3 linked regions of the Arabidopsis thaliana genome follow. Each later gene encodes a partner of the first gene's protein in a complex. Each region holds a gene or a part of one and is shown in the gene's direction. Other genes may lie near its edges.

Region 1 (9,441 bases):
AGTTTCATCACATTCAAGATAGCATAGCCGAAAGAAAGTAGACTGATATAGTTTTTTATGTTAAAAAAGCATCTCCCAGTTTGATGCTTTTTGGAGTATATCACCATGATTCCTTGCATTTGCACTAAGATAGGTCTTAATATGTTTGCAGCACCTCTAGTGGCTTCTTCACCTCATAAAGCACCATCACAAGGATCCTCAGCAACTACGTCAGTAAGATCTCCAGGGAAAAAGAGGCATCCCAATCTTATTCTTATCTTTTCTATAGCCGCTGGTGTGCTTATACTTGCCATAATCACTGTACTTGTTATTTGTTCCCGCGCACTCCGAGAAGAGAAAGCTCCAGATCCTCACAAAGAAGCTGGTATGTACCTCTTCTGATTACAAGGTTTAAATTATAGGCCGATCTCAGTTAGGAATACGTGAATCATGTCAAAAGGTACACATCATGTGAGCAGCACATTGGGAAGTTAGCATAGATGTTGGGATAATGTCAACTTTTATATTGGGTTTAAAGTTGTGTTGTTAGTTGTCAACAGACCTTATGTAAAAAGCCAACAGACCTTAGGAATCAAACAAAAGGATTGAGAAAAATGGGGATACATAGATGATGAATGATTGCTGTCCACTTACCAGTGTGATTTATGTTACTTTCCTAAATCCTGGCAATTAACTTTTAGTTCTTGTTCTTAGTAAAAACTTGATCGCATATTCCTTTCTTTCAGTAAAACCAAGGAACCTGGACGCTGGTTCATTTGGGGGATCTCTTCCTCACCCAGCAAGTACACGGTTTCTGTCATATGAAGAACTCAAAGAGGCAACTAGCAATTTTGAATCTGCTAGCATTCTAGGAGAAGGTGGGTTTGGCAAGGTTTACAGAGGCATCTTAGCCGATGGTACTGCTGTAGCGATTAAGAAGCTCACAAGTGGTGGGCCACAAGGTGATAAAGAATTCCAGGTGGAGATTGATATGCTTAGCCGTCTTCATCATCGTAATCTTGTGAAACTTGTGGGTTACTATAGTAGTCGAGATTCTTCTCAGCACCTACTTTGTTATGAGCTTGTTCCAAATGGCAGCCTCGAGGCTTGGCTCCATGGTAATATCTCCTCTTTGCTTCCCTTGCTGCCTATTTTTAGATCTGACATTGTCAAAAGTAGTTATTGTACACTGAGTTCATCTACAAGAGTGGTTTATTTAAGTCATTGTTTATGCTTCAGGGCCTCTCGGGTTGAACTGTCCTCTTGATTGGGACACCAGAATGAAGATTGCACTTGATGCTGCAAGAGGACTTGCATACCTTCATGAAGACTCGCAACCCTCCGTTATACACAGAGATTTTAAAGCCTCTAATATACTCCTTGAAAACAACTTCAACGCCAAAGTTGCAGATTTTGGCCTAGCCAAACAAGCTCCTGAAGGCAGGGGTAATCACTTATCTACTCGTGTTATGGGCACATTTGGGTGAGTTGCTCATATCTCTCGACAGTTTTCATATACAACCTTAAATTCTGAGTTGCCTATTGAATCCGCGATCTGTTTTCAGATATGTTGCGCCTGAATATGCAATGACGGGACACCTACTCGTCAAGAGTGATGTTTATAGTTACGGTGTGGTCCTTCTCGAATTGTTAACTGGTAGAAAACCTGTGGATATGTCACAACCTTCAGGCCAAGAAAATCTCGTCACTTGGGTAAGTAGAAAGTTCTTGTCATCTCCTAGATCTTCCTGCACTTTCATTGTCGAAAACTTAAGCTTTTGAAGTCTCGAATGTAAAAATTTGATTCTGGATGCAGACAAGGCCAGTTTTAAGAGACAAAGACCGGTTAGAAGAACTAGTCGATTCAAGACTTGAAGGAAAATACCCGAAAGAAGATTTCATAAGAGTATGCACAATCGCTGCAGCTTGTGTTGCACCTGAAGCTAGCCAGAGACCAACGATGGGCGAAGTGGTTCAGTCACTTAAAATGGTTCAACGGGTGGTTGAGTATCAAGACCCGGTTTTAAACACTTCAAATAAAGCTCGTCCTAACCGGAGACAATCATCAGCTACGTTCGAGTCAGAAGTAACCTCTTCTATGTTCTCTTCTGGTCCTTATTCTGGTCTAAGCGCTTTTGATCATGAAAATATTACACGAACAACTGTTTTCTCAGAAGATCTTCACGAAGGCCGATGATAGAAGCCAGGGTTTTCTTCTTTTTATTTGTTTTTCTCCCACTTACGGTGAGAAAATTTCCACCAGAGAAGCTTTTGAGTTTGGGACATTATTACAGCTCTTTGGATTTTGGATTCTCCTTTATTGGAGGATAGAATTTTGTATATATTTTTGCGTTAATTAATTAATATTTGCCACAACCATCAGATATACAAATAGAATTTGAATATACTTTTTCCAATATAAAAAAACTATGTACAGGTGATTAGTTTGTACTGTTAATTTTTAAAGGCTTTTTACAGTAAAAGTTTTTACAGCTAAAAGTAACAGTATAATACTTTTTTTTTATGGAATAATCTAAATAAAATATAATCTGTTGAAAAACTAATATTTTAAATATAATTTTTATGGTATCAAACCAATATTTAAAGTAATTCCTTTCTTATTAGTTAAAATCACAGTTTTTATTATTATTATTTTTGATAGTGGTTATGTTCAGGAAAGGACTGTCATACATTCAGGATGGATTTACAGAGATTGCAATGGATGTTTCCTTAGTTCAGGGCGTGCTCAACTTCAATCGTCACAATTATCTCTTCAAGCAGAGGCTCTCGGATTTCTTCATGCCCTTCAAGTGACTTGGTCCCGAGGACTACATTATGTACTTATGTGTGGTTTGAGAGCGATAATGCAGAGCTAGTAAATCTGATCAATACGCAGAGTGATCATAATAAGATCATCACTCTTCTTTATGATATTCGTTATTGGATGGTGAAGCTTCCGTTCTCTTCCTTAGCACATGTTAATTGGGAAAGAAATGCAGCTGCGGACATCTTATCTAAAAAGGCTCAGTTAATTAATTCTCTGTACCACCATTATGGTTAGAAAGATATTTGTATCTCCCTTTACAAGTTTATAAGAAGCATACATATGTTAAAAAAAAAAAATCTTTACAGTTTAAATCTTTACGCTCAGAGATTTTTACTTTACAGCTAATATTCTTAGCCTCAATGGCTAGTATTGTTAACGTCAAAGTTTCTAAAGCCACACAAATCATAGTAGTTACCTTTAAGATAAAATACAATTATAATCACAAATATCTTAATATTTTTACGTTCAGAGTTTATTACTTTACAACTAATACTTATCTCAAACGTAACTGCTATAACCTGTGTGGCTCTAGAGACTTTGACGTTAATAATATTAGCCATTATTAGCCTCAACGGCTCCAGAGCCAGGCATGTCGTAATAGTTATCTTTAAGATAACATACAATTATAATCACAAATAGAAAATAATTGTCGCAAAACCACTAATTAAATTACACACGTATAAGCACTATTCATTCACACGTGTGGCGTTCTTTGTATGTAATGTAACCCCCCTTCCAGTCCACACTCCGTTCGTCCTTCTCACAAGTCTGATTGCGGAAAAAGCAGAGAGAGAGAGAAAGTTCGAGCGGAAGAGAAGCGGAAAGCTCGAGGAGTCATCAATGGTGACGGACGATAGCAACTCCTCTGGACGAATCGTACTCAGATTTACCTTTCAATCTCCTCTTTTTTTTTTTTTTTTGATTTATTATCTGATTTTGCTCGTATGCGCATGATCATTCGCGTTTTTTCAGCTGATTGTTCGTGAAATCCGTTTGAGTTCATCAAATTATAATCGCTCTCTTACTTTTGTTCACTGTTGGAGTTGATGGACCTTATAGAATTAGTGTTTTTCCTCGTTGCTTTTGTTTTTTACACGATTTTTGTTTTGATTTGGGCTTCTGAATAGAAGTCTCATGTAGATGATGATGATGATGGTGAAGAAGAAGAAGATAGACTCGAGGGTTTGGAAAACAGATTAAGTGAGCTTAAAAGGAAAATTCAAGGAGAAAGAGTTAGGTCTATTAAAGTAAGAGAGTTTCTATACTTGATGTTCTTTACTAATTATACTAATGTCTAAAAAATTTGAAATCATTTATCCGTTTTTGATTGTTTTCCTGGGAATGTAGGAGAAATTTGAGGCTAATAGAAAGAAAGTGGATGCTCATGTTTCTCCCTTTTCATCTGCTGCATCGAGCCGAGCTACCGCAGAGGATAATGGAAATAGCAATATGCTTTCTTCGAGAATGAGAATGCCACTCTGCAAGTTAAATGGTTTTTCTCATGGTGTGGGAGATAGAGACTATGTTCCTACTAAGGATGTTATATCAGCAAGTGTCAAGCTTCCTATTGCTGAGAGAATACCGCCATACACTACCTGGATATTTTTGGACAGGCATGCACCTTTTCTAGTTCTCATTTTTGCGTTGGTAGCATGCTATTCTAAATTCAGTTGAACAATAGACTAGAACATCAAATTCAGTTTTCATATTATGTGTTGTTTTTCTTTTCTGAAAAAATATCTTAACCATGCAGAAATCAAAGAATGGCTGAAGATCAGTCTGTGGTTGGTCGAAGACAAATCTACTATGAACAACATGGTGGTGAGACGCTAATATGCAGCGATAGTGAGGAAGAACCAGAACCTGAGGAGGAAAAACGTGAATTTTCCGAGGGTGAAGATTCCATTATATGGTTAGTTTTGCAGAGAGTGTAAATTATGGACTCTCATGTACTCTGATGGGGAAAAATTGTGATACTGGTATTTGAAGAAGTACCTGGGTGGAATTTATTAACCAATGAATCACATTTGTTGATGCTAAAAAAAGATGTCATATTTCGTATTCATATCAAATTTCATTCTGTAAGACTCTTCATTAGCATTAGGTTTGAAATATATCTCACTATATATGAATTTCTTCATACCTCGTTTGACTTGAATTGGCAGGTTAATTGGGCAGGAGTATGGCATGGGTGAGGAAGTGCAGGATGCCCTTTGCCAGTTGCTAAGCGTAGATGCTTCTGATATCCTGGTGCAGTTTTTAGTCATCTTGTTCTTGTGGTTTATCTAATGATGTTTTTCTGGTCTTCCTATTCTTCTTCACTAATGATGTTTGGCTTTCCTGTCTGCTGCAGGAAAGATACAATGAGCTCAAGTTGAAGGATAAGCAGAATACCGAGGAATTTTCTAATTCCGGATTCAAGCTGGGAATATCTCTGGAAAAGGGCCTTGGTGCAGCTCTAGATTCTTTTGATAATCTTTTCTGCCGCCGTTGCTTGGTACTTGGATTGTTCTTTGTGACAGAGAGAGCATGTATTATTAAGTGTTTGTTAATCATGTTAATCCTTCTTTGGTTATTTCTAACAGGTATTTGACTGTCGTCTGCATGGATGTTCTCAGCCTTTGATTAGTGCTGTAAGCTTGAATTTGTCTTTACTTTCTTTAGTTGTATTGCTAAAGTTTCAGTGGACAACATAACAAGAGAACTTTGGTTGACAGAGTGAAAAACAGCCTTATTGGTCTGATTATGAAGGTGATAGGAAACCCTGCAGCAAACATTGTTACCTCCAGGTCTATCTCTCTCTCTGTCTCTTTACATTCTCAGAGTGATTTGTATATTCGTAGTTAATAAACTATATTCATTAGTGAGATCATGGAATATATGCTCTGACCTAGATTGAGGTTTAGCATGTATGCGTTTGCTAGAGGAGTGATCTTTCATTGTAGTTGTACTAGTGCATAGTCTTGTTTATGCAGTAATTTTTCTTGGTTCCAGAGTTTGAATCACCATTATTCTTATGTTAATGATTTTAGCTCAAGGCGGTCAGAGAAGTACCAGAAACATGCAGTAATTTTGCATCTAAAGCAGAAGAGAAAGCTTCAGAAGAGGAATGCAGCAAGGCTGTCTCCTCTGATGTTCCCCATGCTGCTGCTAGTGGTGTCAGTCTGCAAGTTGAGAAGACTGATATTGGTATCAAGAATGTAGATTCATCCTCTGGTGTAGAACAAGAGCATGGAATTAGAGGAAAGCGTGAGGTCCCAATTCTAAAAGACTCCAATGATCTGCCTAATTTATCGAACAAGAAACAGAAGACCGCAGCCTCAGATACAAAAATGTCATTTGTTAATTCTGTCCCTAGCTTAGATCAGGCATTGGATAGCACAAAGGGTGATCAAGGTGGAACAACTGACAATAAAGTAAACAGAGACTCAGAAGCTGATGCAAAAGAAGTAGGTGAGCCTATTCCAGACAATTCGGTCCATGATGGTGGTTCCTCAATTTGTCAGCCACACCATGGTAGTGGAAACGGAGCAATAATCATTGCAGAAATGTCTGAGACAAGTCGACCATCTACAGAGTGGAATCCTATCGAGAAGGATCTTTACTTGAAGGGAGTCGAAATCTTTGGAAGAAACAGGTAAACTGGATCTTGGTAAATTATTATCTTTAAACACAGAACACCTATAACGTATTTACATCTAGTATGTTTTGTCCGTGCTATCTCAGCTGTCTTATTGCAAGAAACCTGCTTTCTGGCTTGAAGACATGCCTAGATGTGTCCAATTACATGCGTGAAAACGAAGTTTCAGTTTTTCGAAGATCTAGTACCCCAAATTTGCTGTTGGATGATGGCAGGACTGACCCAGGGAATGATGTAAGCTCTTGATCTTCCTAGGGTCTTTTGTCTTTTCAAATTTTCTGCAGTATCTGCGACTTTGGGCATTGTTGTATTGAAAGTTAGCTTGTCAGACTGATAGGGTTAGAGATCTATTCCAGAAGAAAAAAGTTCTGATCCGGAAAAGCCAATTTCCTTGCTTAATTTTTCCCTGATACCTGCATTGGACAAGAGAAAACGATAGTTGACCATAAGTTGGCTTAGACAAGTGATTATTTTATTTGAGATTTTATTGATATTAGCATGCCATGTCTGTCAGAATCATATTTTGGTTTACCGCTCTCTTACTTTACTTGACAGAATGATGAGGTGCCTCCAAGGACAAGATTGTTCCGTAGAAAAGGCAAAACCCGGAAGCTAAAATACTCTACAAAGTCTGCTGGTCATCCGTCTGTCTGGAAAAGAATAGCTGGTGGCAAAAACCAGTCCTGTAAACAATACACGCCGTGTGGATGCCTGTCAATGTGCGGAAAGGATTGCCCTTGTCTAACTAATGAAACTTGCTGCGAGAAATATTGCGGGTATGCAAACAAATTAACGTCAATTGAAGTAACAGAGGATCTTCTTATAACCATCCATTGATTTAATTCAGGTGCTCAAAAAGCTGTAAAAATCGTTTCCGAGGATGTCATTGTGCAAAGAGTCAATGCAGAAGTAGGCAGTGTCCCTGCTTTGCTGCTGGCAGAGAATGTGATCCAGATGTTTGCAGAAATTGCTGGGTTAGGTAGTCATTTTAAATCTAGATCTCTTGATGTGCCATATACAATCAAATCTACTATTTGATGAGTAACTTAAGATGCCTTGCTTATTCACTCAGTTGTGGAGATGGTTCTCTCGGTGAAGCACCAAGACGCGGAGAAGGGCAATGCGGAAACATGAGACTTCTCCTGAGGCAACAACAGAGGGTATAATACTGTCATCAAATCATGTATTTACTAAAAATAAAATGCATTCATTGTTGATAAATCTAGTTTCTCATGTGCTATATTTACCAGATCCTATTGGGAAAGTCTGATGTTGCTGGATGGGGTGCTTTTCTAAAGGTAAAGCATGTGAATATCTTCCTCATTAACTTCTGTTTCATACCTCTTGTATGTAATCTGAACCTCATCTGATCATCAGAACTCGGTCAGCAAAAATGAATACCTTGGAGAATACACCGGTGAATTGATCTCACACCATGAGGCGGATAAGCGTGGGAAAATATATGACCGGGCAAATTCGTCCTTCCTCTTTGACTTGAATGATCAGGTGACCAAATCTCTCACCCTTCTTTCTGATAGTTTCCTCTTGAATTTCGCATATGTCAGTAAGCTTTTGATATTTGCAGTACGTCCTCGATGCTCAACGCAAAGGTGACAAGCTGAAATTTGCCAATCACTCAGCTAAACCCAATTGCTACGCTAAGGTACTAAATGCTTCTCTCTCATATCCATTTTGGTATGAAAAAACCACATGATCGGTTAGTAATTATACCTTCTTTCTCACCTCTAGCCACTCAAAAGTTCCATTTAGAAGGAGGACTAGGATTATAACATTTTGTAGAAACTAATCGCAATTAGCACTATAGAAAACAGATGATCAAATCTAGCTTTGTAGGTTATGATCAAAACACACTTGTTTCTACAATCTTTATGATTGTAATGTGTAAAGTAACATGTGTATATCATCTGCTAGATTTATTCAACCCTTTTCGAAAGGTGTTAATTATTTACAAAAAAGAGCGATTTTCAGTCTATTGTCGTAGTAACCATGGTCTCATCGCTTCCCGCATAAGTACGGTGTCTTTTTCTGTGTGGTGTAGGTGATGTTTGTAGCAGGAGATCACAGGGTCGGGATTTTTGCAAACGAACGAATAGAAGCTAGCGAAGAGCTTTTCTATGACTATAGATATGGACCAGACCAAGCACCAGTGTGGGCTCGCAAACCTGAAGGCTCCAAGAAAGATGATTCAGCCATTACTCATCGTAGAGCCAGAAAGCACCAATCTCATTGATGATTACTGGCTAAGAGAAGTAACTTTTATAAAAATAACTTATAGAGTTGTGAGAGATGATATTTGAAGTTTGATAACTTAAGCTTGTCTTTATTAATTAATTATTATAGAGTTGAGATTTTATTTTATTTTGACATCGAGTTTGGACTTTGTATAGGTGATAAAACAATTTATGAATTATTGGGGTCAATAAGTAAAAATGTATCATTTCGAAAAATAGTTTCAAATTTATGGATTTTTGAACAGCTAAAGCCAATCTATGTACTTTTCAACGAATAAAACTGATTTAAAATAAGTGAACGAACCAATCACACTAAACCAGTGCCTAATCTCATAAAAAGTAATCCGACTGCTAAACCGTATTCCGGTTCGAATCGGATACGGATCCGTTTCCCAGTTGATTAGTCGGATCCAGTTTCTTCTTGCTTTTTCAATTCACATTACGAATCTCCGACGCCAAAATTCTGCTTCCGGTAACAGATATTTTCGTCGTCGAGAAGAAGCAGGAGTTTAGAAAAATGGCGACGGAGGCAGCTCCGATGGACGAAAAGGCGAAGAGAATGAGAGATCTATTGTCGAGCTTCTACGCACCGGATCCTTCAATCTCGACGAGTGGTTCCTCCATCAACGCCTCTTTCGATAACATCAACAGCACTTCCTTTGATGCTGATCAGTACATGGATCTCATGGTTAGTCTTCGTTTCTTGTCAGAATATTCGTGAATCGTCAACACAAGCGTCAATA
Region 2 (7,882 bases), on another chromosome or scaffold:
CATTTTTCACTATAGAAAAGTTCAAGAAAATCAATTAAAACAACTTGATATAAAAGTTTAGACAGTAGTTTTATGAATACAATTTACAAAAACATTTTTCGAGAATCACATATAGAAAAACAAGGTTCCTATAAACAACAAACAAAAAATATGAGTAGGGCATGACTATTTGAGTTTCTAAAAAAAAAAAACACTTACAGAGATTAAGCAAATCGATCAACAAAAGTTTTAGTTTTTATTTTTTCAGATCTGAAGCAGCTAATCGATCCACTAATCTTGTGGAGATCGTGTGTTGCTTTGGTGCATATATATACAAATAGACAAATACATATGCGTTTACATATATATGTAAGCACGTATTTAGAGAGCAACAATAAGGCATGAGAAATGTGATTATCGTCAAATCATGATTGCTACATGACAAATCGATCTTAATTTTGAAAAAGAGACATTTAAATATTCAAAAAACGGTAAAAATTTCTTTAAGACCAACCATGGAAATAACATGAGAAGACTGAGAGGGAGATTAGAACTTACAACAAGAGAATCTTTTTCCTTCAATATTTTTTTTAAACACTTTTCTTTTGTAGGGAATTTGATAATATGAAATGGATAGATTTTACTGCTTAATTTTTAATCATTTTTTATCAGAAACTTTTTCGTTTTAAATCTACGGCTAGAATTTTCGGTCGGTTTTATACTTTATATAGATGCTAGATTTTTTTCTTCTAGTCATCGTTTATTAGTACAATTTTGTTTTTATATATTGATTACTTGAATTTATAATAGGATTGGTACAAAGGTGGTAATTATAAAGTGCATTTTTTTGGATATTGTTCAATTCAAATATTTTTACTTAGATTCTCAAACTATTGAAAAATATCCAAAATATCCGGAAAATTTCAATTTAATCGAATAAAAAAATTAGAATGGAAAGAATAAAAAATTATCGGGTACAATTAGAAGAGTAATGTGTTTAGTTTGGTTTTTACTCGGATACCAGTTCAGTTTTCACGTATTATTCGATCCTATAGGAGCAATTGTGAATTAGTTGTGAGATTTTGGGAGCATTCGCTTCCAGAACTTAGTGCTAGGAGAAATGCTATTTTCCTATAAGAGTTGTACGAGGAAGCGAGCAAGTACACAACAACCACAAAAGCTTTCAATACTTGTTTACTCCTAGGGTTTAAAACTAGAGGTTCTATAGATCTCTAAATTTTTTTGAACAAATGTGTTTTCCACACGTGATATTCTACAATACCACTCGAAAATTATCCATAATTGCTTTAAACTATTTTTTTGTTTAAATTATATAATTTGTACCGTTGTAAACTGATTATTTCAAATTATAATTAAAGCACTATAATTTCATATATTACATTCAACATATATTAAAATAAACTATAACCATGTATTTTTTTGTCTTCCTTTCCTATAAACATTGATTGGACTCTATCGTAAATTTTGTCGTTATCGCAAATTTTGTCGTTATCGATGAGTTTCTCAAAGTTTGGACCTTGATTATCTTGTTTGGAGATGTTCAAATCGTTATATCCAAATAGTGAACTTCTAATTTTCTTTTTTGATAATGTGACTTATTTGGAAAAGTATTCCAAAGTATTCAAATAAACCCTTTAAAAATCCATTAAATACATTTTAAATAAGTAAAATGCTCTCAACGAAGAGATATCATGGTAAATAACAACAGTGAGAGGATAAAATGTTAAATCAATTTATTTACAACTTCAAATAGGCGGACATCAAACCTACTTAGCACACTTTCTATTTTCAAATTGGTTATGGTTTGTCTATTAGTTGTTGCATCTATGTTTTTTAATTCTTATATCGGTGATCTTGATTTTGTTTTGGTGTATCTAAAATCTATTTTAGTTAAAGTGCAAGAAAATAAAATAAAAACTTAAGGTAAGAGATGAAAGTAAGCTTTAAATAAAACAGAGCACTTCTATGGTCGATTATAGAGCCAAGTTCGTTCCTCCATTTTGGCTTAATGCAATATTACAAGTAAATCTTATAAAACTTTCCATAAGTATCGTATTACCCATGGATACTATGATATATAAACTCTCGGAGGTGTAGTCCAGAAGAAATGATCCATATTTGCATACAGTAAACTTGATGGAAAAAATATGTGGTACTGTTGGAATTGTAGCTATTGAGTATCAAATTTGAGAAAAAGGTAAAAAAATATGTAAAATTTGGGTGGAAGAAAAGAATTACATAAAATTGAGAAATGTATGTAATTGACAAAATAATGTTTTCAAAACATAAAAACGTGATACCATTTAAATCCAAACCTTATATCATTTAACCATTTTTAGTAAAACTAATAGTAATGAATGGTCAATAATATAAGATTACATATTAAATAATTACTACTTTCAGAAAATTTCAATCAAATCTATAATATTCCTTTGAAAAAAAAGAAAGACAAATAGGTAAACTTCGATCGTATCAATCAAAGAATATATTTATTTTTCATCGTAACGTTTAATTCTAAGTCCTATTAAAAAACGTTAAATTTGATTTTTCTTACCATTTTTTTCTAAAAGGTGAGTTGTGTGTTGTGTCAGGTCCAAAATAAAAGTTTGTCGTGAGGTCAAAATCTACGGTTACAGTAATTTTAATAACCTGTGAATCTGTGTCTAATCGAAAATTACAAAACACCAGTTGTTGTTGCATGAGAGACTTGTGAGCTTAGATTAGTGTGCGAGAGTCAGACAGAGAGAGAGATTTCGAATATCGAATGTCGAAGATAACCTTAGGGAACGAGTCAATAGTTGGGTCTTTGACTCCATCGAATAAGAAATCGTACAAAGTGACGAATAGGATTCAGGAAGGGAAGAAACCTTTGTATGCTGTTGTTTTCAACTTCCTTGATGCTCGTTTCTTCGATGTCTTCGTTACCGCTGGTGGAAATCGGGTAAAAGATCTCGACTTTCAATTCGAAATCACTGTTTTCAATTCTGGGTCTGTTTAGGTTTTGATTCAGATTGATTGTAACATTAAGGCCTTTCCTTTTGTGTTTGATTTTGGATTCTGATTTCTAGCCTTTAGTGAGATTAAAAGATTGAAACTTTGCTTGATGCTATAGTCTAAGATTATGTAACATTTAGTTCAAACTTTCTGGTTTTGGAGATTTTGTGGAAGATATGGTTTTTGTTTTCTAATTTAAAGTGAACTCATTACCTTATACACTTGATTTGCATTCTGTTCTAAAAAAAATTGAAACTTTGGTTGATGTTGTTAGTCTGCTTATCTAAGGAGGTTCCTTTTGAAACGGTCATCAAGTGAGTTATGAAGCGTTTAGTTTAAGCTTTCCTGTATTGGAGATTTTGTGGAAGTTATTTTTTTTTCTAATTTTGAAACTAGATAGAGTGAAGTCATTACCTTATACATTAGACTGCTCTATTTTGTTTTCAATGTGGGTTCCGAATGTACCTGATAGTGGCTCTTTAGGCTCATTTGTATTCGTCGAAACATCGATCGGATACCCGTTTGGGCTTAGTAGGCTCTGATACCGCGTAAAGTTCTCGGGTTCCATGAAAAACCAATCGGTAATGAGTGGAGTTAATTTGTAATCGTCTTCGGTCGAGCATTTGGGATTAGTGGGCTTTGATACCATGTGAAAGTCCTTGGGGTCCAATCGGCAATGAGTAGAGTTAACTTGTAATCTTACACACTTGGTTAGGTCTCATTCTCTTTATAATGTTGTGTGCCTAACAGTTTCCGCACTAAGGTTGTTTGGTTGCTCAGTCTCAATATACTTATCTTAACTAGTTGTAGTTTTTTTCATCTTTCCTAGTTTCCGTTGGATTTTAAATTGAATGATTTACTAGTTAGAAATATTTGAGTTTCTCATAGAAGCTTTAACCAAGGGGTTCTTTCATTTAACCTTTACTTAGCTAGTTCATGAATCTCATTACTGCCATTGGTGTATCTCTTATTATGTAGATTACTCTGTACAATTGTCTCGGAGATGGTGCCATATCAGCATTGCAATCCTATGCTGATGAAGATGTAAGGAAGCATACATATTAGCTTTTCCATCAAATTAAAGTAAGTGATGTTTCACTGAGGCCATTTGGTTATATTTTGTCTATGTCCTCTGGAGAGCAGAAGGAAGAGTCGTTTTACACGGTAAGTTGGGCGTGTGGCGTTAATGGGAACCCATATGTTGCGGCTGGAGGAGTAAAAGGTATAATCCGAGTCATTGACGTCAACAGTGAAACGATTCATAAGGTATTATTGCATTTTTATGGATGTTCTATGTATCCTAGCAAATGATTCTATATCTTTCTTGTATAATCTGTGCTCGCAAATGTGCAGAGTCTTGTGGGTCATGGAGATTCAGTGAACGAAATCAGGACACAACCTTTAAAACCTCAACTTGTGATTACTGCTAGCAAGGTATATCTCTTGGCTTTCTTTTCTTCCTAAAGTATCCTGACTTCTTTTTTATTTGTTGGTGATTAAGAGCTGTTACGTTTTAATTGAATAAGGATGAATCTGTTCGTTTGTGGAATGTTGAAACTGGGATATGTATTTTGATATTTGCTGGAGCTGGAGGTCATCGCTATGAAGTTCTAAGTGTGGTGAGCCAATATTGTTTTATCTAATTCAGTTAGTTTTCTACAATAATATATAGAGACAATGTTAAGGGGAACCATCTTATTTTGAAAATTGTAGGATTTTCATCCGTCTGATATTTACCGCTTTGCTAGTTGTGGTATGGACACCACTATTAAAATATGGTCAATGAAAGGTACGATCGAGCACATATTGTAATAAACTTCCATTTTAAAAAACCTTTTGAGAAAAATGGCTTGTGGTTCGTTTGTATGATCTTCTTATTCTTTGGCTGTCTATAGAGTTTTGGACGTACGTCGAGAAGTCATTCACATGGACTGATGATCCATCAAAATTCCCCACAAAATTTGTCCAATTCCCTGTAAGTATTTTGTTTTAGCCTTGTCTTGTAACAACAAGTGACATACAAATATTGGTGATGGCCTTTGTAAATAACATTACTTCTATATGTAGGTATTTACAGCTTCCATTCATACAAATTATGTAGATTGTAACCGTTGGTTTGGTGATTTTATCCTCTCAAAGGTTAGTAAGTCAATGATGGTTAAGATTAATTCATTTGGTGTACTGTTAAAACACTTTACTCTTGTGTTGTTCTATCGGATTTTAGAGTGTGGACAACGAGATCCTGTTGTGGGAACCACAACTGAAAGAGAATTCTCCTGGCGAGGTTAGGATCTCATTGTTGCTCCAAACACAACATAATCATTCATTTCATCACATATATTTACAGTTGAACTTTTTGTGGTTTGCAGGGAGCTTCAGATGTTCTATTAAGATACCCGGTTCCAATGTGTGATATTTGGTTTATCAAGTTTTCTTGTGACCTCCATTTAAGTTCTGTTGCGATAGGTAATCAGAGAGCTCGTTAGATACAAATTTGCATTCTATAGATAGATTACTTCAACTTTTCTTATTCATTTTGTGACAAATTACTCGCTGGTTTGTTATCAGGTAATCAGGAAGGAAAGGTTTATGTCTGGGATTTGAAAAGTTGCCCTCCTGTTTTGATTACAAAGTAAGTTAGTTTCGGATTCAGATACAATGTTTGATCTTTAAGAAATGTTTTAGTCTTGACATGATTTTCTGTTGCCATATAGGTTATCACACAATCAATCAAAGTCTGTAATCAGGCAAACAGCCATGTCTGTCGATGGAAGGTATAAATCCATCTTCTCTCTCACCAATGCAGTGAAAATTTCTTAATGTTATTTATGACTCAATAGTTACTGTAAATCAAACCAAACTTTGGATTCTGACACACTGTTTCTTCCATGGGATTGTAGCACGATTCTTGCTTGCTGCGAGGACGGGACTATATGGCGCTGGGACGTGATTACCAAGTAGCGGTCTGAGTCTTGTAGGAATTGATGAATTAGGAGTGCGAAGAAATGAGATATCCATTCTTTTATTGTAATTCTGATCATGTTGCTACTCCCTGAGACCTTGAGATGCTCTTTGTAGCCTTGTTAACGTCCACCCTTGTACCACAGTGTATACCCTTTCTGGAGATTTTGTCTTATTCTCTTAGTTCAATACACAAGGCTGTATCCTGGAGCTTTATTGCAGGAACCACTCTCTTTCATAAGCTTTCTAGTATTCAAAGCATTGTCCCATGCTCCATTAGCTGCATACACACTGGCCAAATTGATGTAATTGACTGGTTTCCTCGGTTCCATACTCAGAAGCTGCGTGGCTGCTACTTTACTGAGCTGCACATTCCCATGGCGCCTGCATGCATCAAGAAAAGCTCCCCATGTTGATGAGCTAAGACTTACAATACCCTCTTTACTTCTTATCAGTGCATAAGCTTCTTCCAAGTAGCCACTGCGCGCAAGCATATCTATGATGCAAGATAAGTGCTCTTCTCGAGCTTCGATTCCGTGCTTGTTGATCATTGTGTCGTAAATCTTCCAGCCTAGTTCGGTTTGTCCTGTATGACTACAAGCAGAGAGGAGAGAAAGAAATGTAACGTCATTCGGTTTGATCCTTTCATGCTCCATTCTGTTATAAAGATCAATTGCTTTCTCAAAATTCCCATGTCTTCCATATCCTGCAATCAAAGAGGTCCATGATCTCACATCTTTCTCTTTCATCTCTTCGAAAGCCAGGACTGCATCCTCGATTTCCCCAGACTTTGCATACATATCTATCAGCGAATTCCCCAAAGCAACATCGAATCTGATTTGGGAAGATTTTAAGGCAAAACCATGGATCTGTCTTCCAATGGTTACAGATGCAATGGTGGTGCATATTTTAAGCATCGAGGATACTACAACTTCGTCCATCTTTGTTTTCATCCGTATCATATCTTTGAAGATATCAAAGGCATCACTTGTGCAGTTGTTCTGCTGTGAAAAACCTGTAATTAGAGCAGTGCAAGATAGTAAGTCTCTTTTCTTTGTGCCCTCGTGCAGTTTCCAAGCATTGGCAAGGCTACCACACTTCACATATGCATTAACCAGAGACCTAATTAGTGCACTTGATCTCCCAAAACCCAGCTTGATCGCTAATCCATGTAATTCACTGACTATTTCAAGACACTTAACGACAATAGAAGCTCTCAAGAGGCTTCCAAAGGTGAAGCAGTCTGGCTTCTTCCCTAACACATAACAACACAAGAAGCTATATAACCAAACTGAGTCACATAAGTTTTGAAATATGTACGAAGAATTGAATTAAGTAGTTCACCTTCCGTGAGCATCAACTGAAACAGACTAAACGAAGTATCTGCACAAGCATTGGCGGTGTATCCATCGATCATAGCATTCCAAGAAACCAAATCCCTTTCTTTCATTGAATCAAACTGAAGACGAGCTTCCTCCATCTTTCCACACCTGGCATAAAGAGAAAGCAATGCACTTCTCACAATTAAGTTCCCTGCACAATTCCCTTTCTCCACACTACCATGTATCTGCATCCCTTCTTTCAGACACCCCAAATCTTTACACGACTTCAAAACACTCCCATAAGTGAACTGATTAGCCTTAACATCTTCCCGGTGCATCTCTTTAAACAACAACAACGCGTCCGGGTGATATCCACATCGAGAAAACCTCGAGATCATAGCTGTCCAAGAAACCACATCTCTCTTAGAAATTCTATCGAACAGTTTACGTGCATGTTTCACATCTCCCTGTTTTAAGTACAAATCTATCAACATGTCCTTCAACTGGAGATTGGAGCAGAACCCATTTGTAATCGAATTCCCATGGATCAACAATAGTTGTTTCTTGACGTTTTGGTAGCTGCATAATTTAAGAGCTTTAAGGTA
Region 3 (6,519 bases), on another chromosome or scaffold:
AAAAATCTTGCTTTGGTGTGATCAGTTTAATTTCCTTAGGCTTCAGTTATCAATTGGCTTAGTTATCCTTGTTTCTGTTTCACAGGCTGGCAGTGTGGATATTGAGATAGGAAGTGAGCAGAGGCCGGATATAATAGATACTTCTCACTCTAATTCTGATGATGAAAGTAATTTCCAGGGCAACAACCTTGTCATTACTGCAAAAGATGACAAAAGAGAAACAGAGGCAACTCAGGGAATAGAAAACTCGGAGACTGATGAAGAGAGGAACTTGACGCACTTAGGCAATCAAGAGTCAAAAGCAGACCATCTTGAAGGAGCTGATGTTTCAGCAGATGTTGTGCCTACTGAGACCAGGTATCAAATGCATACAACTAGGTCTCTTCTTTACTGGTCCGATCCTTATATTAGGATAATTTACTTCATTGATGGATCTCTTGTTTTTGAGTAATAGAAAAAGTCATTCAAGTTGATCATATTGGCACCACTTCAGTTTGAATTCTTATATCTTTTGTTTTTACAGACAAATTTCAGAGACAGGAGCCGGTGAGGTGAAAGAGACGGAAACTGGTGAGGTGAAAGAAAGGTCAAGTTCGTGGAGCAACATAATGTCATTTGCGAAAGAATTTGCGAACTTTTGGAGATGAGGGTAGATATAGCCAGGGAGCTTTAGACACGCTCAGGAAGGGTAGGTAGAGGTGTGTAAAGTATACCAGTAGAAGCTGTTTTGTTTTGACATTTTGCGCAAAGGTTTGGAATCGACCAAGATGTCTTAATCTAGACTATTATTGTCCTGCTGGCTATGAGTCTAGATTAAAACACACAACAGTTTTAGAGGCTTGTTTTGTGATCGACCATTTTGTACAAAGGTATAGAATCTCCCAAGATGTTTAACATGGTAATCTATACTATCGTTGTCCTACTCACAATGAGTCTAGATCAAAGCTCGTATTTTCGCTAATTCATTGTTTGTTCTACAGAACTACAAATCCAAATAAATACTCGAATAGACATTATTTCATAGCAATTTTTATACATGTCGAATAAAGACTTCATTTCATAGCAATTTTGATACATGTTCCCGTAGTGGTACAACCAAAACAAAATGTGTTGGAAAGTTGGTGCCGCAGACAGCAGTAGCATAGCTCTAGCTCCCACGGTATGTGGAGAAAGAAAAAGGTGCAAGCAACAGTGGGACATGGAAATGCTCCCATTTCTGTGATTCTGTAACCTGAAATACAATGGAAACATAGGGAAAGAAGCAGCCTGGGGAATACTTTGCAGTGTCGAAGCTAATCCTATATGTCCCTGGATTCAAAGCGTCAACCAAATCCATCAGTGGCCCACTGCGCCCATCTCTATCAGTAGCTGATGTGCCCACACTGGACCAGACCCCACCACCTCCATGAACAAAGGAAGGACCGGTAGTACCACTCCACACTTCTAAGTGCACTTCAACACCTGCAGCTGGAGCACCACGTGAGACGTCTAAGACATGAGTCGTGATCGGTGGCCTACTTCTCTTGGGAGCTTTTGCTTCAGCTGCAACATTCAAATGCCCTCCAATGATTCTCAGACGATCTTACAAAGCGAGAAAGTAGAAAAGGTCACACAGATAACAAAGATAGCCATAAGGGTAAATCCTTGTATTCCAAAAGACACATACTTGATATCATACTGAATCCTAACAGGTTCAAACCCACACAGTCAAACACAAAACTTTGACAAGGAAAAGATTTGGTAAATCATCAATATACCTTGAGGTTTTGTTGAAACAGGAGAGCTAGAGCTGTCAGTTTCTGATATAACTTTAGCCTTATCGGAGAACAGCTTTGCCATTCGTAGCTCTGTTATTTTCATTTGTTCCATAGCAGCAATCTCAAGCTCCACTATTGGCCTATTTTCATACCTTTCCTGAAAAAGAGACGATTTGATGAATATGTAACTTTCTCATTCACTCACACTCAACAAAAACTGATTTGGAAATGCAAAAGTTGACCTTTAACGCATGGAGCATCTCAGCGTGAGTCCTGCCAGAAGCGCAAATAATGAAGATAAAGCCAAACTTCTTTTTGTAAAGTACATTCCATTCGGCAAGCTCCTAAGAAATTGAAAACAATTGATCATCAGAAGAAGAAATCACTGAAGAGATGAAGGAAAAAAAAAGTGAAGATCCATCACCTGTAAAGCAGAAGCAGAAGTTGTGGCAAAGGCGGTTGACTGTTCTGATACGCTCCGACGAGCAAAATCGGAGTTGATAGAAGGTGAAGGAGTATTCCCAATCTGAGGATGAGCAGAGAAAGCTTCAAGCCAATCTGTCACATTAACTTGGTTGAACCAGATGTCTCTTGCAGTATATATTGCTTCTTGAGAAGTTAACGGTCCAGACGTAGACATCTGCTTCGCGAATTCGGAGCTTCCACAGCAAACCTTCCATTCATCTTCTCCGATCTCCATCGCCATTTTTTCTCTCTTTTCTCCAATCCTCACTTCTGTTGACTGGTGTAAGATCAAAAGTCATCTAATTGGGCCTTTTCATAAACGGGCTTTTCAAAAATGGGCCTTTTCTTTATCTTCTTCCTTTTTTTATTCATCATCTTCTATATGTGAATTATTCAGAAACAGAAGCGAGAAGTTTCTTACAATTTGTAAAGAGATCTGTTTTAGGGTTTTGCCTTGTTCTTGTGGCGGGAATAACAAAGACATCGCCGATATGGGGAAAGACGAAGAGGAAATGCGAGGTGAGATCGAGGAGCGACTAATCAATGAAGAGTACAAGATCTGGAAGAAGAACACTCCTTTCCTCTACGATCTCGTTATTACTCACGCTCTCGAGTGGCCTTCACTTACTGTTGAATGGCTTCCTGACCGTGAAGAACCTTCCGGTAAAGACTACTCCGTTCAGAAGATGATTCTCGGTACCCATACCTCCGAGAGCGAGCCCAATTACTTGATGCTAGCCCAAGTTCAGCTTCCTCTTGACGATACCGAGAGTGAAGCTCGTCAGTACGATGATGACCGCTCTGAATTTGGTGGCTTTGGCTGTGCAACTGGAAAGGTGCGATTTTTTATTTTTGTTTCTCATTTCCAACTTTCTAGATTTGATTCTAGGGTTATAACGAGGTAAAGGATGATAAATGTTAGTTTGATTGCTTGTGTAGGTACAAATTATCCAGCAGATAAATCATGATGGTGAGGTTAATCGAGCTCGCTATATGCCTCAAAACCCTTTCATAATTGCTACCAAGACAGTTAATGCGGAGGTCTATGTTTTCGATTACAGTAAGCATCCATCTAAGCCTCCTCTTGATGGGGCTTGTAATCCTGATTTAAAGCTTAGAGGTCACAGCTCTGAGGGATATGGTCTCTCTTGGAGTAAGTTCAAGCAGGGTCATTTGCTTAGTGGCTCTGATGATGCTCAGATCTGCTTGTGGGATATTAACGCTACTCCTAAAAACAAATCTCTGGACGCTCAGCAGATTTTTAAGGTAATGCTTTGGATTTCTATTCGTTTTTAGTTTTGTTTTGTATCATCTAGAAAGGAAGGAATTGCACCCACTTAACGGAATCAGTTACACTTATGAAAGCTCATAGATAGATATTCAGGTTGGTTTCTGTGTTTTCCTTGCTGATGATTATTTTCTGAACTTAAGGCTCATGAAGGGGTTGTGGAAGATGTTGCATGGCATCTGAGACATGAGTACCTGTTTGGATCAGTTGGAGATGACCAATACCTTCTCATATGGGATCTGCGTTCTCCATCTGCCAGTAAACCAGTACAGTCTGTGGTTGCTCATTCGATGGAGGTGAGTTTGCAATATATTAGCTTTAGATACAGATAATACTTCTGGTTTTTAAGCTTGCTTTCCTTAACACTAAAAACCATTGAATCATATTGCCTCGTATGTATTTGCTAATTGTTGAGTTGTTTGAAATGCCTTAGGTTAACTGCTTAGCCTTCAATCCATTTAATGAGTGGGTTGTGGCAACAGGATCAACTGACAAGACTGTTAAATTATTCGATCTACGGAAGCTAAGCACCGCTCTTCACACATTTGATAGCCACAAGTAAGAATGATACGCCATAAATATTGCCGCTTTGAGATGGATTTTGTGTTACTAAGAAGTATTTACAAGTTACAGCAACATCACTAACCTTAATTATGTGCTTGATCTCCAGAGAGGAGGTTTTTCAAGTTGGTTGGAACCCAAAGAACGAGACTATTTTAGCTTCATGTTGCCTTGGTAGAAGACTTATGGTTTGGGACCTTAGCAGGTTTGGGCCGTAGACTTTAGTTCTTTAGTTTAATGTTCATGTATGGTCATGGAGGAGCAATATTGATATGTTTGAGGGTGTCTTATGATAGGATCGATGAGGAACAGACAGTGGAGGACGCAGAAGACGGCCCACCTGAGCTGCTGTTTATTCACGGTGGTCACACTAGCAAAATTTCAGATTTCTCGTGGAACCCTTGTGAAGATTGGGTTATTTCCAGTGTTGCTGAGGACAACATACTCCAAATATGGCAAATGGCTGAAAACATCTATCATGATGAGGATGACGCTCCAGGGGAAGAACCATCAAAAGCTTCTTAGCTTGTTATTTAGTATCCAAAGCGCACTGATCTTATGGGACAGTATTTATTTATACATCTCTGCTATTGTTTAGTTCAAGTATTTAGTGTTCATTGTGTAAAATGAGGCATGAGAGGATGGTAGCAAGTGGGAATTTTTCTTTATAACATGAAGGAGTTGATTCTAATCTCACTAAGTAGTGTCAACCAAAGCTATAACTCTTAGTTTATACCCAGATTGGGCGACATTAGAAAGAAATTACAAATTTGAATCAAAGTCTCTGACATAAAATTTCAAACTGAAAGTCACTTGTCACAATGGTCCTTATTAAAGCTACTGGATAGCTTGGTTTGATTTGATATTGATAAATGATAACTAGCAATCGAAAAGAGATCTGTATTGGGAAGCCTCGTCAGCCATCTCCTGAATGCTCCTATCAACCCGGTCTTTATCTAGATCAAGCTTCTGCTTCAGTTCCTTCTCCTTCTCATCAAGCTACAAGAAGATACCACCATAAGATTTGTATAAAACCAAAGCTAGGAATGTGATCAAAATGCAACAACTTACAGCATCATAGATTTCATCATTCTTCTCAAAGTCACCACCTTTACGAGGCAAGATATGAATGTGTACATGGGGAACAGTCTGTCCCGCTTGAGGGCCATCCTAAGCCATTTTCATGAAACCAAAGTTAGATCGTTTCAATTCCAATCCATTAAGATTTAGACGCAAGAAACAATGACGAAAGAAAGGAGATGTTTAGTTTACTTGGATGGCTAATGTGAGAGAAGACGCATTATGGAAGGTCTCAAGCTTAGAGCCAACCTTCTGAGCAGTAAGCCACAGGTCACTGGTCTCATCAGCTGTAAGATCAGTAAATCGTGGCACAAGGCGTCTCGGGCAGACAAGAACATGTGCTCGTCTGGTTAAAGTCATCCAATAGAACTCAATTTACAAAACAAAACCGAAAAATGAAGAACACACAAAAAAAAGAAGGATATGACCTGCAAAAAATAGATGAAAAAGAAGGTCAGAAGAAAGTTGAAGAGGTTCGATGAATAATTAGAGAGGAATGAGGCATACCAGGAAGAAGCGGACGGAGATTAACCATGGCATAAGAGAGAGGCGTTGCGTAGAACACTTCACGGGGATCGATTTTGTACGGCCCAAATGCGTACGAAGAACAAGTAGACGACATCTGCAGCAATCAAAACACTCAAAAATCAATCCTTCTAACTTGTAAAGTAGAGACAAAATGTTGGATCGTATAAGGAACTTACCTTTCTCTGACAACGAATACTAGATAAGATCGTCTTCCCGGTTACTTGCAGGTTCAGCATCTCAGCTCCGCCTCCGTCGCCATGAAAGTCACAGTTAACGCCTTTCCCTTTTCTTTCTTACGGGCTTGAAGAAACCCATAACACCTTATTGGGCCATTACTGAAGCCCAAATAACATTAAAATCAATTAAAAATTGAGTTGAGAAAGGGAGAGAGAGAGTGATGATAATAATGGATGACCCCCGGCAAAAAAGATAAGATTTTTACAGATTCTGCCTCGATCAACAGACTCTAATCAGCAGCAAATGTGGAGCGTCACCGGAGCATTGACTGTGGCGGTGCCGCCTACCGCCGCCGCTTGCCGTACGAAACCCTTTCTCATCTCCTCTTCCTTTCCCAAGCAGACAAAGAAACTCCATCTCTCTTCGCCTTCTCTGTCTCTACCATCATCACATTTCTCCTCCTCTTTCAAAACCGCAGCTACCTCCATCGAGCAACAGTCTTCTGTTAACAAGGTTTCTCTTTTCTTTCTCTCTCTCTCTTTTCCTCTTGACCAATCAAACCAAACAGCTTACGTTTTCTGGATGATTGCAGGGAGAGAGCACCAAGTACCATTTCCTGGTAGCAAACGCTAAATTCATGCTTGACGAAGAGGAGCACTTCCA

The links.
Region 2: SWN (region 1) and FIE share a complex: the UniProt entries of both Arabidopsis thaliana proteins name them as parts of the plant homeodomain / polycomb repressive complex.
Region 3: SWN (region 1) and MSI1 share a complex: the UniProt entries of both Arabidopsis thaliana proteins name them as parts of the plant homeodomain / polycomb repressive complex.

Annotation. Positions count from the first base shown.
Region 1 is NC_003075.7:883,047-892,487, forward strand, and holds SWN (SET domain-containing protein), read left to right. Parts: upstream 1-3,533; 5' UTR 3,534-3,646; coding exon 3,647-3,682; intron 3,683-3,933; coding exon 3,934-4,053; intron 4,054-4,153; coding exon 4,154-4,419; intron 4,420-4,559; coding exon 4,560-4,718; intron 4,719-4,971; coding exon 4,972-5,056; intron 5,057-5,159; coding exon 5,160-5,303; intron 5,304-5,391; coding exon 5,392-5,439; intron 5,440-5,523; coding exon 5,524-5,595; intron 5,596-5,838; coding exon 5,839-6,443; intron 6,444-6,532; coding exon 6,533-6,680; intron 6,681-7,001; coding exon 7,002-7,222; intron 7,223-7,293; coding exon 7,294-7,425; intron 7,426-7,518; coding exon 7,519-7,606; intron 7,607-7,696; coding exon 7,697-7,744; intron 7,745-7,823; coding exon 7,824-7,952; coding exon of another isoform or gene 7,953-8,031; coding exon 8,032-8,109; coding exon of another isoform or gene 8,110-8,160; exon of another isoform or gene 8,161-8,505; coding exon 8,506-8,697; 3' UTR 8,698-8,941; downstream 8,942-9,441. Other genes in the region: AT4G02010 (Protein kinase superfamily protein), read left to right, coding at 152-364, 726-1,097, 1,219-1,462, 1,545-1,692, 1,796-2,176; AT4G02030 (Vps51/Vps67 family (components of vesicular transport) protein), read left to right, coding at 9,216-9,386. UniProt on the Arabidopsis thaliana protein: Polycomb group (PcG) protein. Catalytic subunit of some PcG multiprotein complex, which methylates 'Lys-27' of histone H3, leading to transcriptional repression of the affected target genes, mainly abscisic acid (ABA) responsive elements.
Region 2 is NC_003074.8:7,247,137-7,255,018, reverse strand, and holds FIE (Transducin/WD40 repeat-like superfamily protein), read left to right. Parts: upstream 1-2,566; 5' UTR 2,567-2,764; coding exon 2,765-2,941; intron 2,942-3,784; exon of another isoform or gene 3,785-3,972; coding exon 3,973-4,038; intron 4,039-4,137; coding exon 4,138-4,260; intron 4,261-4,347; coding exon 4,348-4,428; intron 4,429-4,520; coding exon 4,521-4,613; intron 4,614-4,707; coding exon 4,708-4,783; intron 4,784-4,889; coding exon 4,890-4,969; intron 4,970-5,061; coding exon 5,062-5,133; intron 5,134-5,218; coding exon 5,219-5,278; intron 5,279-5,363; coding exon 5,364-5,460; intron 5,461-5,562; coding exon 5,563-5,626; intron 5,627-5,708; coding exon 5,709-5,768; intron 5,769-5,894; coding exon 5,895-5,955; 3' UTR 5,956-6,140; downstream 6,141-7,882. Other genes in the region: GATA29 (GATA transcription factor 29), read right to left, coding at 1-3; AT3G20730 (PPR superfamily protein), read right to left, coding at 6,141-7,210, 7,300-7,882. UniProt on the Arabidopsis thaliana protein: Polycomb group (PcG) protein. PcG proteins act by forming multiprotein complexes, which are required to maintain the transcriptionally repressive state of homeotic genes throughout development.
Region 3 is NC_003076.8:23,553,399-23,559,917, forward strand, and holds MSI1 (Transducin/WD40 repeat-like superfamily protein), read left to right. Parts: upstream 1-2,613; 5' UTR 2,614-2,713; coding exon 2,714-3,058; intron 3,059-3,161; coding exon 3,162-3,488; intron 3,489-3,653; coding exon 3,654-3,806; intron 3,807-3,943; coding exon 3,944-4,068; intron 4,069-4,180; coding exon 4,181-4,276; intron 4,277-4,367; coding exon 4,368-4,596; 3' UTR 4,597-4,847; downstream 4,848-6,519. Other genes in the region: AT5G58210 (hydroxyproline-rich glycoprotein family protein), read left to right, coding at 86-357, 524-647; TTL (transthyretin-like protein), read right to left, coding at 1,148-1,581, 1,758-1,914, 2,000-2,101, 2,182-2,463; FHIT (FRAGILE HISTIDINE TRIAD), read right to left, coding at 4,951-5,070, 5,143-5,241, 5,344-5,492, 5,659-5,773, 5,856-5,915; EMB3143 (YCF54), read left to right, coding at 6,160-6,369, 6,449-6,519. UniProt on the Arabidopsis thaliana protein: Core histone-binding subunit that may target chromatin assembly factors, chromatin remodeling factors and histone deacetylases to their histone substrates in a manner that is regulated by nucleosomal DNA.